Linked DNA regions of Notamacropus eugenii. The protein of the gene in region 2 purifies or fractionates together with the protein of the main gene of each other region. This does not show direct contact. Links are inferred from orthologs where the notes say so. Each region holds a gene or a part of one and is shown on either strand. Other genes may lie near its edges.

Region 1 (8,026 bases), on a different chromosome or scaffold from region 2:
GCAAATTAGATCATCAAGGGCAAAGTTCAAATACTCTCAAATGTAATCCAAACTGAACCTATGTATAAATCAGGCAGGCTTTACTGATTTGAAATAAATCAAGGTCTTTATCTGACCAGAATCCCCAGCCTTTTAAAATCCAAGACCTACAATTTTTCAGCTCCAGAGGGGGCTGCCTGTTTAAAAAATAAACAAATATATTTTTATTTTTTATTATTATTTTATTTGTTTTCAGTGTTCTACAATCACTTCCAATGTATCTTAGATTTTTTCCCCTCCCTCCTCCCTTACCCTCTACCACCCCTCTCCCTCCCTGAGATGGCATACAGTTTTATATAGGTTCTACACATACATTCCTATTAAATACATTTTCACCTTACTCATGTTGCATAGAAGAATTAAAATGAATGGGAGGAATCATAAAACAAACCAAAACGTAATACAAAAGAAAATGATCTGCTACATTCTGCAATCGAATTCCATAGTTCTTTCTCTGGATGTGGAAGGCATTTTGCCTTAAGAGACCACTGGGAATTTTTTAAATCCTTGCATTGCAATGAAGTACTAAGTCTACCAGAAAAAATCCTCATAGACTGTGGTTGTTGCTGTGTACAGAGTTCTCCTGGTTCTGCTCCTTTCACTCAGCATCAGATCATATAAGTCTTTCCAGGCCTCTCTGAAGTCTTCCTGTTCATCATTTCTTATAGCGCAATAGTATTCCATTACATTCATATGCCACAATTTATTCAGCCATTCCCCAATTGACGGGCCTCCCCTTGATTTCCAGTTTTTGGCCACCACAAAGAGGGCTGCTATAAATATTTTTGTACATGTGGGACCCTTTCCCATTTTTATGATCTCTTGGGGATACTGGAGTGGTTTGCATTTTCCTTCTCCAGCTCATTTTACAGATGAAGAAACTGAGTAAAAGGGTTAAATAACTTGCCCAGAGTCAAGCGAGTATCTGAGGCTGCATTTGCACTCAAGTCTTTCTGATTCCAAGCCCTGCCCTCTATTCCCTGCAATATCTAGCAGCCCATTTAACTTTTAAAATACATTTTTAAAAAACCCATTCATATTCACTATCATATGCAAGATGAAGTGGTTAAAAGTTCACAATGTATGGCTTGCCTTGCTTGCTCCCTAATATAAAAAGACTGAGTTTAATTGAAATTTAAACATGCATAGTTCCATATGAAAATGCTTATTTTGATATGAAGTGACCTTCAAATCAAGGTTCTTCTAAGTAATGATGTGTACACATCTACACTAAAAACTCAATCTTCAACGTTCCTCTCCCAAATGAAATAGGTTTCTAGACAGAATACTTTAGACTAAGATAACACATCCTAAAATACCCACTCCATAAAATAACAGACGTGACCACACTCACCTCCAGATCCTTCCGGATACTCTCGAATTCCTCAATGTCATCTAGCTTCAACTCCAGGCGAGTGGGTTTTCGTCGGAGCATCCTGGTAACAGTTCAACACGTCCAAGCCAAATCCACCAAACTGTCAAAATTTAGGGAGAAGGAAGAGGCTCTACAAGAAGCATACTCTGGTGGGGATGGATTTTCTGCAAGCAAACAACGATACCCTAAACGTACACACAACCTCCTGAGCTGTCAGGAAGCCTCAATGACTCTGATTTCACAGCCATTCAAAAATAGCTGCCTGTGAAACACATAGAAACCAAAAGATGTACAATCCACTTTAATCCAGTAGTACTTCAGCCACATTCAGAGAAATGTACAAGTTTATACAGACAGTTAAAAATAACTTTCCTTAATTCAAAATGAATTACCATTTACAAAATGGATAGTGACAATCACTTTAATACCCTTTGCCTGGGTTTTTAGGGATTTGTGACCACTGGCAAAAGTCAAGTTAAGATTTCATTTTCAAATGAATCACACAGTGGTTGACTTCCTAATTCTAAGGAAAAGTCTCTTTGATTCATAACTATATAATGACTTGATGCAAACTTTTTCAAGGAACAAAAAACAGAAATAAACAATTGCGCAGATTTATGCTAAAATGTTTACAGAGGATTACGCTTTGTAACCATTAAAATGATTACAGAGGAAATCAATAATGCTAGGGTCATTTTTTTTAGCACCATTTAATGATCTGAATTTTAATAAACCTTTTTTTTTTTGGCTTTTCATAGACTTAAAAAGTTTTACTGGTGTTTTTCATGTTGTTATTTCTGAATATCCTTTTCCCCTCCCCTGTAACAGATTCCTATTTAGCAGTGTTAACCTCCCCAACTATTAGCATTGATTTAACATCCCTCTCTTCGGTAATGAAGAACAATGGACCGGAGTCCCTCAATGAGTATGCATGCCAGCATATGCTTTCCCACCGTATTTTAGGATTCTGGGCATACCCACCACACTCTCCAGACCCACTTCAATCCTGGAACCAAGATGAACGGCAGGGGATCTGAGATGGACGGAGCACTAGGTTCAGCGCATCAACCGAATATAAATACAGTAGGCAATTTCTGAGTGGTTCTTATTCCCCATCATCTATATCTAGGTATTTCCCCTACCTCCTTAACGTGGGGTGGGGAAGGGGAGGGGATGGAGGATGCCACCCTGCCTTGAACCTGGTCTACTCCGTGGCCCTTAGTTTCGCCATCTGTAAAACGAGAGTTGACCCATTTCCCCTCTAAGGTCAGTGGAATCAGACTGTGAAGGGAGAGGGAGGTTGTGGTTGAGGCTGGAGCCGTCGTTTCCATGACTACAGAGAGGCAGGCCAGCGGACCGAGCAGCAGGGAAGCCGAAGCCTGCCCGCCGGCGGCCAGCTCCTTCCTCCCGGCTCACGTCCCCTTCCCTTTCCGCCCGCCTCGCCCCAGGAACTAGGTCCTCAGCTCGAAGCAGCCCTCATGGCCCAACACCCACCTCCCCCCAGCGCGGCGCGGCTCAGCTCAGCTTGGTTTAGCCCAGTCCCGGGGCGAAACCGACTTCTCGGACCCCTACCGCCTCCAGCCTGTTCCACTCCGCCTTTCCAGCCACCTACCAATCTTCTGTAGGCTTGACCGCAAGGACTGCATCTCCCGACATGCCGCGTGGCCCCTTCCTTATCCGTCGCTGCTGACTACCTCTCCCAGAGTGCTCCGCGCTTCATTCCCTCAGGTTGCAACAGAAGCCCCTAGACGAAGACTACAATCCCCGGCCTGCTCCGCGCCTCCCCGGGCTTCCGGACTCCGTTTAGTTCCGGTTATGTTCTATTTCCGACACGTTTCGAAATTTCCGGTCCCCTGAGCGTGGAGTGAGTCCTCCGGCGGTGGGGGTCAGCGGCCGTGGTGGTCTGCGATTGAAATTCTTACCACAACATGGCTTCTTCTCGAGCTTCGGCTACGGTGCGGCTCTGGCCTTGGTGTTTAGGGATCCTTGGGAGTTCTCCCCACGTGTAGGGGAGCCGGAATTGGCTTCTGCCCTTCCACTGAACCCGCGCTCAGGGAGATGATGGGTGGGTTGGTGCAGAGGCAGGGGGATGGACTCGCCGAGTTCCTGACTCCTGACTCTGCCGCCCCTCCGAAGGGAACTGGCCTCCCCTCCCACCCCGACGGAACTGGGGCCACAGCTGGGGTTTGAAGTCAACGCGGCGGCGGGGGGGGGGGGGGGGGGGGGGAGGGGGGGAGTTGGAGTTCTAAAAGAGACAGTGTGGTAATAAAAAGTTGCCCTGGACTCAAGGTGGGAGATCGGACTTCCCAGCTCTACACGAATTTGGTTAAGCCTGTTAATTCCTGGCCCCAGTTTCCTTCTGTAAAGAGAGAAATCTAGATGAGATGCTAACTTAGACTTTTTCAGCATCGTGTTCTGTCATTGGGTTTTAGTCCTAGCTTTGTCCAGATCCCAGACAGATCGCTGAACCCTAGTTTGTCATCTCCAAAAGGAGAGTTACAAGGAAGCAGTTGTTAGTTCAGGATTGGGGAGGGACTTAACAAAGTTGTGGAAAAGGCTTCTGTGACAGATGGTGACTTCACCTTCACTTGGAAGTGTTTGAGCACAATTTGAATGACTGCTGGTCAGGGATGTTACAGAGGAGATTTCCTGTATCTGCAAAAGGGATGGACTAGATGATGTAGACTCTAAAACTCCAAAATTGTATTTAAAAAGGTGATAATCCCTGATCTTTTCCCTTCGTAGGATTTTTGGGAAGATGAAATAAGATTATGCATGTATAAATGCATTGAAATCTAGAAAGTTCTATAGAGATTGTAGTGTACTTCAGAGTTGAAAAAACATAGACCCCAATTTAGAATTTTCTTTGGTTTAACCAGAGGTAAATTTTCTCATTATGTTTCCCTTTAAATTCACTGCTTAAATTTATTTCAGGTCCTTTATTATCTAAATGACTCTAAAAGGACATTGAATGGATAGCAAGCTCAGTATGCTATTGATAACGTAAATGAACACTCATTTCTCCAAGATAGATTGCACCTGTCCCCAGAGGTCTTACATCTTAATAAGCAGTATCAAAGTAACCTATTGATTGGGAAATCACTCAGAAAAAGATGGAGTTCATTAGTTTCATCCCACACGTTTCTTGTCCCGAACATGCTCTCATGTGAGGGATGCACTAAAACAATTACTACCTTATCTGAGTGGGGAAAGTTCCAACTGGTGCTGTGCTTATTTCTGCAGATCCAGGAATAGCATTTGGTTTCAGAATTAACACTTCAGGCAGTTCCGAAGGTTGCTCCAACTCTAGGTTAACTCTACTTTTTGATTTTATAGGCAACCAAAACCCCCAGTAGGACTCCTGAAGACACTGCCTCCCCTGTGGTGAAGAAGCCTCATATCTATTATGGCAGTTTGGAAGAGAAGGAGAAGGAACGTATTGCAAGAGGGGAGTCAGGGATGTTGGGGAAAGAAGGAATTAAAGCTGGAATTGAGGCTGGAAATATTAATATAACTTCTGGTAAGACTAGTTTTGGACTAATCTTTTGTGTTGCCTGTTCTGCCTGGTCTTAAGTACGGGTTTTCTAGGTTTGAATATTTTCTCCTTTTACTTTGGGCCTTGATTAAAATAAGTTTTGCATTATCAACTATAGTCTCTCCTTGAACTTCTCTTTATGGAAGCGTGATTTATAAATGGTATCTCTGAGACTAAGTTTTACTTTGCCTGCCTCATATCCATGGGCCTTTACATTCTTGGGGATTAATAGTCTAATTTGTATTACATTAGTCTGTCATATGGTTGTAAATTCTACTAGATTTTAAATTCCTTGAAGGTACTAAACCAATCCTTACAATGTGTCAGGTACTGTGCCACACACTAAACATGTGAGTGCAAAGAATGTAGCATTCCCTACAGTTAGGCAACAAATACAAGCCTTAATGGCTGTATGTTTGTATATATACACATATACGTATACATGTATTTATATATTTCATAAATTTAAAGTGAATAAATACAAATATATACAAAGAAGTTAAAAACAAACTTGCTGAACAGATTGTTTTGGCCTTGTATTTACCATAGTGCCTAATGTAGTATGCACTTAAAAGTAGTCATTCTTCTCATCTTGTGTCTTCTCAGACACCTTTTTCTTCCCCACATCTTTTTGGTAGGACTGTTCCTATGAATTATGAGTATTTGTACTAGAAAGTCACTCAGAGTAAGTTCATAGAATCATATTCTGCTTCTTCAAAGAACAAGTTTAACATGGTCCTGATATTACTGTTTTGAGCCATTGTGGTCATGTTTATTTCTTTTGCTTTTTTTCTTTTCCAAAGTTTTTATTTGATCGTTTCCCTATACTACATCTGAACAGCTAAGCCACTGCAGCTTAGCCAAGACTCCCTAGTATTGATTCTAGTTTTAAAAACAGTTTTTTTTTAACCTGATCCTGTCTGTAAACTTGTTTTTTGCTTTTTTAAAAGTTAAAACTTTTAAAATGCACTAAGAGTTTTGGGACAATCCTTTATTTTGTTGTTCAGTCATTTCAGTTGTATCTGAGTCTTCATGACCCCATTTGGGGTTTTTTTGGGCAAAGACACTTCCTTCCCCAACTCATTTTACAATTCAGGTAACTGAGACAAACAGGGTTAAGTGACTTGCCCAAGGTCACACAGCTAATAAGTATCTGGGGCTGGGTTTGAACTCAGGTCTTCCTGACTCTAGGCCCAGCATCTATCTGCTTAGCCACCTAGCTGCCCCAGTCTGTGTCTAGATCACTGTAGTTTGTTGTAGTTGATTTCTGTTGTATATTTCATTTTGTGTATTTAAAAACCTTCTGATAAGGGGTCCATAGGTTTCCCCAGACTGCCAAAGAGTTTCCATGATATCTTGTCCTAGCTTATTTAAATGAGTCCAAGGAGATATTGAATTGATAGCAAGTTTAATTTGTTACTTGTGATATAAATGAACACTCTGTCTGGAACCCTAAGAGAGATTGTACCTGTCACAATTCTACTGTCAATTCCTGTAGAACTGTGAATTGCATTCTCATGGGAGTTTATCAGTCATGTTTTAGTGCCCGTATATCAGCATTTGATGAATACAAGTATGCAACTTGTGCCTCTCTTTTTCTTTTTAAACAAAATGCCTAAATAATTAATTTGCTAAATGTATCAAAGATTCTGGGCTCTTGAAGTCTGTCCTCTCCAGGTTTCATCAAAACTTTGTATTTTGCACTTTTGTTTAGTTGGGATTGGGATTGTGTCGAGTAGGAATTAGAGATGGATAGAGCAGTTACCCTCCTTTTAGAGCTGTTGAATTTTGAGCTGGGTATTGGGCATGAATAATCAGTTTCGATTTTTTTCCTTCTCTGTATTTGGAGTATAAGCTCTGATCATTATACTCTATTGCCTTTTCTTTGTATAGGGGAAGTCTTTGAAATTGAAGAACACATCAGTGAAAGACAAGCAGAAGTGTTGGCTGAATTTGAGCGAAGGAAGCGAGCCCGGCAAATCAATGTTTCCACAGATGACTCCGAAGTCAAGGCTTGCCTTCGAGCGCTGGGTGAACCAATCACACTCTTTGGAGAGGGCCCTGCTGAAAGGAGAGAGAGGTGATCATCTCCAGATGGCTTTCTGACTTCCCAAAATAATTGAAATTTTTCTCCTTTTTGTAATATATTCTGGTCACAAGATTTGGACTAGTCAGTGAAGCTGAGACTTTGACCATTGGTCTTAGGTCTTCTCTACATTTTACTTATTTGTTTCAGCTAATAAGATAATTCTTAAGCTATTTTGGAGAAGACTTTTTAAAATGCTGAATTTTCTATTATAAGCAGTGAAAAGAGTACTTGAATAATATCTAATTATTTTAAATCAGTGTTAGAATTTGGGATTGATTAAATATTTGTGTTTGAGTCTTAAAAAATTATCTGAAAAAAATAGACATCTGATAAATTTCTTCCTCATCAACTATTTAAACTATAAGGCCTTTTCATGTAAAACTTGAGAAAAGAATGGTACCTTTTACTATCCACATGTTACTGCCATAAGCAGAATCAGCTAGTGATGCCATCAGTGGCTAAAGGAGAGGGAAAATCTGCCGTTTTGCTGTATATGTACTTGGGGTGATGAACAGGTCTAGACAAATTGGCTGGCTTCAGAGAGGCCTCTTAAGGAGACAGAGTTTGTAGATTCTGGGAGGATGCCACAGTAGAGTTCAGAGTTTGCAAAGGAGTGAGGGATGGCTGAGAATAAGAATAGTTGAAGTAGGAATACATTGAGCACCTTTAATTAAAAAAAAAATGAGATTTTGGATGAGGAGAGAATATTGCAATTTTGATTTGACTTTAATGGCTGCTGTTTTATCTCTTTTGATGGTAGTGTGGTTTAGTGGGTAGAGGGCCAGCCAGGAGATTAAGAAAACCTGCATTCATGTCTTGCTTGTGTGACCATGAACAAGTTACTGTATCTCTCAGTATCCTGGAGAACTTTTTAAGACTCAGAGTTATAGAAGAATTGCTAGATCAAATGAGGTAACAATTTTAAAACCCTTAGCACTGTGCCTGGCGCATGATGAGCACTTGACAAATGCTTTTTGATTTACTGAGA
Region 2 (7,976 bases):
ATCAAGTAATACTACTACTAGGTCTGTATTCCGAAGACATCATAAAAATGGGAAAAAAAACCCACATGTACAAAAATACTTATCGTAACAATTTGTGTAGTGTGGCAAAGAATTGGAAATTGAGAGGATGGCTCATCAGCTGGGGAATGGCTAAACAAGTTTGGTATATGAATGTAATAAAATATTATTGTGCTACAAGAAATGATGAGCAGGCAAATTTCAGGAAAACCTGTAAAGATTTACATGAAGTACTGCTGAATGAAGTGAGCACAACTAGAACATTGTACACAATACCAGCAACAGTGTGATGACCAACTTTGATAGACCTAGCTCATCTCAGCAATGCAGTGATGTAAGACAATTCTAAAGGACTCAGGATGGAAAATGCTATCCACATTCAAAGAACTATGGATTCTGAATGCAGATCAAAGCATATTATTTTCTCTTTCTGTTTTTTCTTTTTCATAGTTTTTCCCTTTTGTTCTGATGCTTCTTTCACAAAACCAATGTGGAAGTATATTTAATATGATTGTATGTATAGCCTATATCAGATTGCATGCCATCTTGAGAAGGGAGAGGGGAAATTTAGAACTCAAAATGTTATAAAAGTGAATGCTGAAAATTAAAAATTAATTAATTTTTTAAAAAATTACTGTGGAATATTACTTGAAAAAATTTTGTTCCCTTCTGATACCTTTATATAAAAGATGCTCTACATGCAAGAACAGGTTATTTTCATAAAAATTTAAAATATCATATATGGGGAAAATAAATATGTCAGTAGTTATTGTGGTTTTTCAGATGCCTTTATTTTTTCAGTAATCATGAAGCCTGAGATTTTTTTAATACTTTTGCTATCTTCTCCTTTAGATATCTTAAGGATCAACATTCAGTGCCTTCAAAATTGTTATCTCTATCACTGATCCTCTCTGTACATACTTGGTCTGGTCCAGATGCTTTTCCCATCTTGTTTTCTTAAGTGCCATTTTTACTTCTTCACATCTAGTACTGTGAGGTTAGACTCCAAATTCCATTGTCCTTGATATTGAAAAGTCAATCACAAATATATTGGAAGCTTTATTTAAACAATCTGTGCTGTCCTGTTTTTGAATGTTTTACAACATGATGCTGCTCATAATCTTTCCTTAAAATGAGATTATATTCTAAACCAGTGTTGTTGCCCCTGATTTCTACATTTCTCTACTTGGCAAAGCAGTTCACTATTTGTTAACTGAGGTGATTTTAGGGCTTTTGTTATGGCACCTGATTTGCATTAGTCAAACTTCTGAATGAAACTGTTATAATTGGTATGATATACCTTCCTCTGGGGCAGCTAGGTAGTGCAGCAGATAGAATGGTGGGACTGAAATTAGGAAGACTCATCTTCCCGTGTTCAAATCTGGCCTCAGGCACTTACTAGCTGTGTGACCCTGGGCAAGTCACTTAACCCTCAGTTTCCTCATCTGTAAAAGGAGCTGGAGAAGGAAATGGCAAACCACACCAGAATCTTTTCCAAGAAAACCCCAAATGGAGTCACAAAGAGGTGAACCCCACTGAAGAAACAAGTGAACAAATGGAATCTTATCACAGAAAAAGTTCCATCCACTCTCCACCTCCCCAAGGACAGAGAACTAGACTTACATTTAGACTTGCTTTCCTAGTAAACCTTTGTACACGGATAAACAATTATAGGAATCTGGCAGGAAAATTATGCAATTTTTCACTATAACAGTCTAAATCTGAATATCAAAAGGGGCCAGGGACACTCAGTCGTTTTGGTCGTATCTGACTGACTCTTCCTGACTCGATTTGGGGTTTTCTTGGCAATGATACTGGAATACTTTACCATTTTCAGCTCATTTTACTCATAAGGAAACTGACATAAAAAGAGGTTAAGTGACTTGTCCAGGGTCAAGCAGCCACTAAGTGTCTGAGGCCACATTTAAATACGGGAAGATGAGTATTCCCGCCCCTGGTCCGGGCACTTTATCCACTTAGCCACCTAGATGCCCAGCTGGGTAGCAGGATATGAACCCAGCTCCCACGCTAAACCGTCTACACCAACGCCACCTGGACTCAGGTCTCCGGACTCCCAGGCCAGTGCTCTTTCCCCCAAATTAAATCGAGTCCAATTTTTCTCACTGAGGAGCTCAGACAGGAAACCAGGCCACATTAATGGAGGCGACGTGGGGCCAACAGGGACGACGCTGCCCAGGGACTAAGATCCTAAAGAAGTGGTAAGAGTTAAAGAGAAAGGCGGGGCAACACGGGGGGAGGGCGTGCTCATTCGGGAGCCAATGGAGAAAAGGCAAAAAGCGGGTCCCAGGAAAGAGACCTAACCAATGGGAGGAAGTAAAGGAAGAGTAGCCCTCGAATTGGGGACGTACCTACACGACGGGGCAGGGGAAGGGAGGAGACGCCCAGAGCCAGGGGGAAGGCGGGGCTTTGGAGAGGAGCGTGCCCTACCAGCGAGGAGAAACAACATGGGGCGGGGCCTAGGACAAGGGGACTGGGCCACAGGCCTGGAAAGGAGTATTTGTTTCCAGATAACGGAGAGCAGGGCCAATGAACGGAGACCTTGAGGAAGGGGGCGTGGCTTCGAGAATGGGGATGTGGCCGATAGGTGGACCCAACTTAACCCCAGGGAACGAGATCGGAGCAGAAAGGATCGCTCTCGGGACCCAAGATGGGTTTGGGAAGATGGGCCTCCTCTTGAGGAATCCCATAGTTCAATCCATGAACCGCTGCTCTTACTCACCGCGCCAGGAAGTTGTAGCCGGTGGCGACCCGGAAGTACTTCCGTCTCCCTCAGTAGAATGTTGTACCAGTACTTGACAAAGATTCGCTCCTTGCTCAAGCGTATCCCCGCCACAATCGCCTTCCCTAGGGACGCGCATGCGCGAACAGAGGACTTCAGCGCTACGCCCCCTCTTCGATTTCTTGTGTGAGGTCTCTCACAAGTGGTTGGCCAACGCGCCAGCCCCGCCCCTTTCCCCCGGTCCAATTGTCTATGCTCATCCCACCCCTCCCATCCCACTTTTAGGGCTCGTGCAGCCATAGGCTGTGAGGCCCCGCCTCCATGCTGGGCGTTCACCGCGGCCCTTCCGTGCCTCGTTGACGTCTGGCTCTTGGGAAGGGGCCTTGTGCCATCCCTCTGTGCCCCTAAAGCGCCCCAAGAAGGGGAAGTGACTTCTGAGAGTTCAAAAAGTACCCTCTCCCCCCCTCCTGGCACAGGTATTAGATCCAAGACCCTGGGAGTCAGGTGGGCCGTGGGGGTTAGGAACCCCGGTTCCAGTGTGTATTAAAACAAGCATTTATGAAGTGCCTGCTGTGTACCAGATAACTAGCAGGGCCCGAGAGGTGCCAGGACGTCACAAAACCGCACCTGCCCTCAAGCCTTTACAGAATAAAGACCAGGGAAGACACAGGCTTGTTAGAGGAGCATCTAAGGACTCCGTCAGGTCCAGAAGCAAGCAGCATGCATTAAACGCTTTGTGCCAGGGCTGTGCCAATGCTGGGGATGCAGATCTTCACCTCCAACCCTGCGCTACCCCTCGTCAAAGGAAGCTGATGGGATGGGGGAGGGAGAAGGAGACTGTGCCCTGGAGGATCTGGGTGAAGAAATTGTGGACAGTCTGGCGGGAATTACTGAAATGAATGAAGCTATGGATCACTTGGCTGGAAAAGGAAGTGGTAAAGAGCCAGCTCCGAGGAAAGGCCTAGAGGTGGAGTGAACGTGCAGGTAGGAAGACCGGGAGAGGATTGAATTTCCAGGTCTGAGCTGAGGGAAATCTGTAGGAAACCAGTGATCCTAAAAAGCAAAAAGGAGAGGTGCATTTCAGGCATGGGAGTCAGCCTGGGCAAGAGCAGGGAGGCAGGAGATGGGATGGCACGTGTGAGGAAAGCAAAGTCTTCAGTTTGGGAAGATCAGGTGGAGAGATTTGCCCTACGTTTGGAAAGGATTTTGGTGCCGGGTCAATAAGAGTTTATTAAGCACCAGCCTCTGTGCTAAGATACAAAGAAAGACAAAAATTCTCTTAAGGAACTCGAAGTATAAAAGGGTAAACAAGAGGAAAATAGCTACAAACAAGATATATGTGCAGGATGAATCAGTGGTTATCCCAGGGAGAAGGAGATTAAGGAGATTAACAGAGATGAAGACCCATATGTGCGAAGATACCTATAGCAGATCTTTTTGTAGTGGCAAAGAATTGGAAACTTAAGTGCCCATTAATTGGGAAATTCCCGAGCAAGTTAGGGTGTTTAAATGTGATGTAATATTATTGTGCTGTAAGAAATGATGAAGGAAGTTTTCTGCTTAAGCCAGCGTGACCCGAGACCACCCCAGAGCCAAGAGAATTACAAGGACAAGCCATTCGATATAGCTAGCCACTGGAGAGGATATCTGCAGCTCCTGACGCTGCTGCTGATGCCAAGGCTGGCCAGAGGCCTTGAGCTGGATCCCTTGTTGCTGTCAAAAAGTAAAGATTAATTTAGGAGAGAATGTGCAATACATGGCCAAGAGAAAATCACTGAGTGGCAAAACCTTATTACAATATACTTTTGTTTTATTTAACTTGTAAATGTGTGGAGCTTATTAAATCTGCTTCTGGTAAAGTCTTGATTTAAATGAAGTTACAATAATATTGGGAGTTCTGAAAGGAGAGTGTGGCCTCCCCAAAGTATTAGTTGATTCAGCTTAATTCAAAAAAAGATCCAAGAACCATACTCAGCTGGATCATTGAAGACTTTGGCCTGGGGCTGAGGGAAGTGAAGAGGGAGTGAATGTGAATAGACACTCTGGAAGAAAACTGGTGGGTGGAAGTGGATTGGGGATGGGGTGGGGAGAGCATCTGTTGGGTGTCATCAGACCAGAAACTTACCCCTGGCTTGAGTCAGTGGGGCTGGCCCTGGTAGGGAAGCTGCTTTACCAAAGACACCGTGGCTGAACTGCTTTAAAGGTGTTCAACCTCAGCCCAGGGGAGTGGGTTCTCTTTCAGAACTAACTTTCAAGCAGATACAGGAAGAAATGCTGTGAAAGGGGCAGGGGAAATGGAGGGGATAGAAGAGATAGTGTGAAGGGGGATGAAATATGAGGCCCTGGGCAGAAAGGGACTATGGTGTCCCTCACTCACAAAAGCCCTTCCTGAAAACTTCCCACAGAACAAAAAGACAAGAAACAATACAGCTCTGGGACACTTTCCTAGCATCTGCCTGTGGGAGGAGCTCAATTAGCTTTTATTGGTATTATGACTGGGCCATATAGTCTTGAGCCAAAGTACTCTCTGCACTGACATATATGCTCTATCTGGAGGAGCCCAAGGGATGGGACCTGGCCCAGGAATGTGCCTCCTCTCAGGGCCAATGCTATGGCTTGGGAGGTTGCAGTTTCTCATTACTGAATCAGGTTTTTCAAAGGCAATGACTTTATTGAGGATACTGTAATTGGGGTTATTATTCAGGCACTGCATATATTAGATGGATGACCCCTGAAACCATAGCCTTACTGCTAGGACTAGGACCAAAGGGCCTGGGTCAGGGCAGGAAGGATTTTGTCTCTGAAGTCATTGGGGAGGGAGGAAGGGCAAAGTTCCATTGACAATGTGTCTTGGATATTGAGTTCTGTGCCCAGTTCTATTCCCAAAAGTTTTTGGGGGACTGAAGAACTGGTTTCCTTTTATAAGACAGGACTAGATGAACAAGTCATCTTGTCTTCTGACTTGGTCTGCGGGGAAAATCACGAACAAGACAAGTGATATTCTTGGCAGCTAGCCAGGGCAAGGCTTTCTTTGAAGTTTAATCTTTCCCCATCAGGGATGACTGCTAATTAGGTAGAAGCCAGCTTCAGATGTTCCTGGCTTTTGCACAGCCCGATCCTTTCTCCTTCCCTCTCTCACTAAAGGGCTTCCCAGGATCAAAGAATTTCAGAGTTGGGCTCTCTAGTTCACTTTACACCTGAAAAATAATTCTTCCTCCTACAAGGGGCCGTTGTTAAACAGCTCCCATAGAGGGATCCACTACCTCCTAAGGTAGCTCATTCCAGATATGGAGAGATCTAACAAAATGTTTCTCCTAAACCCAAGCCTACATTTGCCTCCTTTTGATTTCCACCTATTACTTCTAGTTCTGCCCTCTGGGGTCAAACAGAGTAAGTCTATCCCATCTTCCTTAAGTACTTGAAGGCAGCTATCATGCTTCCCCTAAATCTTTACTTATCTGGCATAAATATCCTCAGTTTCTGCATGGTAGCCCCTCATGCTGTCAATCAAGGCCCTTTACCATCCTGGCTGCCTTGTTTTGAACATTCTCTAGTATCCTTCTTAAAATGTGACACTCCCAACTGCACCTAGTGTTCTGATGCTGTTGCACCACAGCAGAACATGGAGGCGTGATTATGTGCAATCCTGGACACTATGCTTCAAGGAAATGCAACCTAAGATCACCTATCACATGACTGGCAGTCTGCCAAAACCCATACATATAAATTTTTTATTATTTTTTTATTTTTATTTTATTTTTTTACTGATGCTTTTACACACAGGGCTGTCACTGCTCAATACTCTTCCCCCCCGGGTTACCCCCACCATGGAAACTCCTCTTGTAACATGAAATATATTTAAACAAAACAAAATGACATTTACCATGTCTGACAACATATGCCTCATTCAGCACTTGTAGTCTGCCACCTCTCCATGGAGGGGAAGAATGTTTCATTATCAGTGTTATGATGAACCAGTCTGAATTCTGATGCCTTTTAGAATTTTCCTTAACTTAAAGAATTTCTCTTTCTTACACTGGTGTTGCCCTCTTGGTTTTACTTACTTAGTTCTGTATCAAATCTTCCCAAGTTTCTCCAAACTCCTTATAATTCACTGTTTCTCAGAATGTTATAATATTCTATTATATTCACATTCCAGCATTTGTTTGCCTATTCCCAAATCAACAGGCATCTAGTCTGTTTCCAGTTGTTTGCTACCATAAAAAGTGGAGCAAAAAATATTTTGGTATACTTGTCTTTGGTCTCATTGGGGTATCTCCAGGGAGGAGTGGTATCAAGGTCAAAGGGCATGAACAATTTGATCACTTTTGTAGGTCAACTCAGTCTCAGATCTTCAGATAAACTGCTGTGTAGTCATGTGTGTCATCTTATCAACCTTTTTTGAAAAAAATTCAAATCTTTTAGAATGCCATTCCATTTGTTTTCTCTGAAAAGCTAAGGAAATGGTACAGTGGTGGACACAGTGCTAGACATGGAACCAGAAGATACTGTTTCCAGTCTTAAGGTCACTCAAATAGTTATGTGATCAGAAGCTTATCAGTCCATCTTTTCTGAACTCTGGTTCTTTCATATGTAAAATGTAAAACCTTTGGTCGACTTCTTTTCTAAGGGTGCTGTGAGGATCAAGTGAGGTCACGGATGGGAAAGCACCTTGTAATGGAAAAGCTCTAGCAGAAGTTCCCAAACTTATTTGGCCTACCACCTCTTTTAAAAGAAAATTAGTCAGCACCTCCTGGAAATCTAATTTCCTTAACCCTTTCATGTTTTTAAAATTTGTGTCATTTCAAAAAGATACAAGATTTTTTAAAAAAACATGATGCATCTTAAATTTAATAGTTTATTGTAAATTTGTGGGGTTTTTCCTGCATTGAAATTTTAATGATGAAATATTGCATCATGTAACCATATAGTATCATATTACAAACAATTCATTACTTGCACATATTCCTACTGATGCTTGCTGGGCTTCCTGACAATGTGCTACATGCTCACCTGTCAACACTTGCTTGTTAAGACCTGTTGTTGGACTTGACCACTGATTGGTTATGGTTATAACTTGCATTTTGTGGCATTTTTCTGGAAAATAATGTAATCACTACAATTTTAACTCTGTTATACAACAGATGAAACACATATGAATGATTTTTCAAAATTTTCTTATCTTCTTTCCTTATGCTTCCACTGCCCCCTTATTTTT

The links.
Region 1: the proteins of ANAPC15 (region 2) and CDC26 purify together in Homo sapiens (affinity purification with mass spectrometry; 3 studies listed by BioGRID and IntAct, with this or other methods). This does not show direct contact. The link is inferred for Notamacropus eugenii from reciprocal best matches to the Homo sapiens genes ANAPC15 and CDC26.

The regions. Positions count from the first base shown.
Region 1 is NC_092872.1:478,473,363-478,481,388, reverse strand, and holds the start of CDC26 (anaphase-promoting complex subunit CDC26), read right to left. Parts: upstream 3,136-8,026; 5' UTR 3,027-3,135; exon of another isoform or gene 2,909-3,026; intron 2,448-2,908; exon of another isoform or gene 2,392-2,447; intron 1,515-2,391; 5' UTR 1,475-1,514; coding exon 1,394-1,474; intron 1-1,393. Other genes in the region: PRPF4 (U4/U6 small nuclear ribonucleoprotein Prp4), read left to right, coding at 3,343-3,369, 4,751-4,934, 6,843-7,029. UniProt on the Homo sapiens protein: Component of the anaphase promoting complex/cyclosome (APC/C), a cell cycle-regulated E3 ubiquitin ligase that controls progression through mitosis and the G1 phase of the cell cycle.
Region 2 is NC_092876.1:96,807,049-96,815,024, forward strand, and holds the start of ANAPC15 (anaphase-promoting complex subunit 15), read right to left. Parts: upstream 3,104-7,976; 5' UTR 2,898-3,103; coding exon 2,759-2,897; intron 2,309-2,758; exon of another isoform or gene 2,174-2,308; coding exon of another isoform or gene 2,071-2,173; intron 1-2,070. UniProt on the Homo sapiens protein: Component of the anaphase promoting complex/cyclosome (APC/C), a cell cycle-regulated E3 ubiquitin ligase that controls progression through mitosis and the G1 phase of the cell cycle.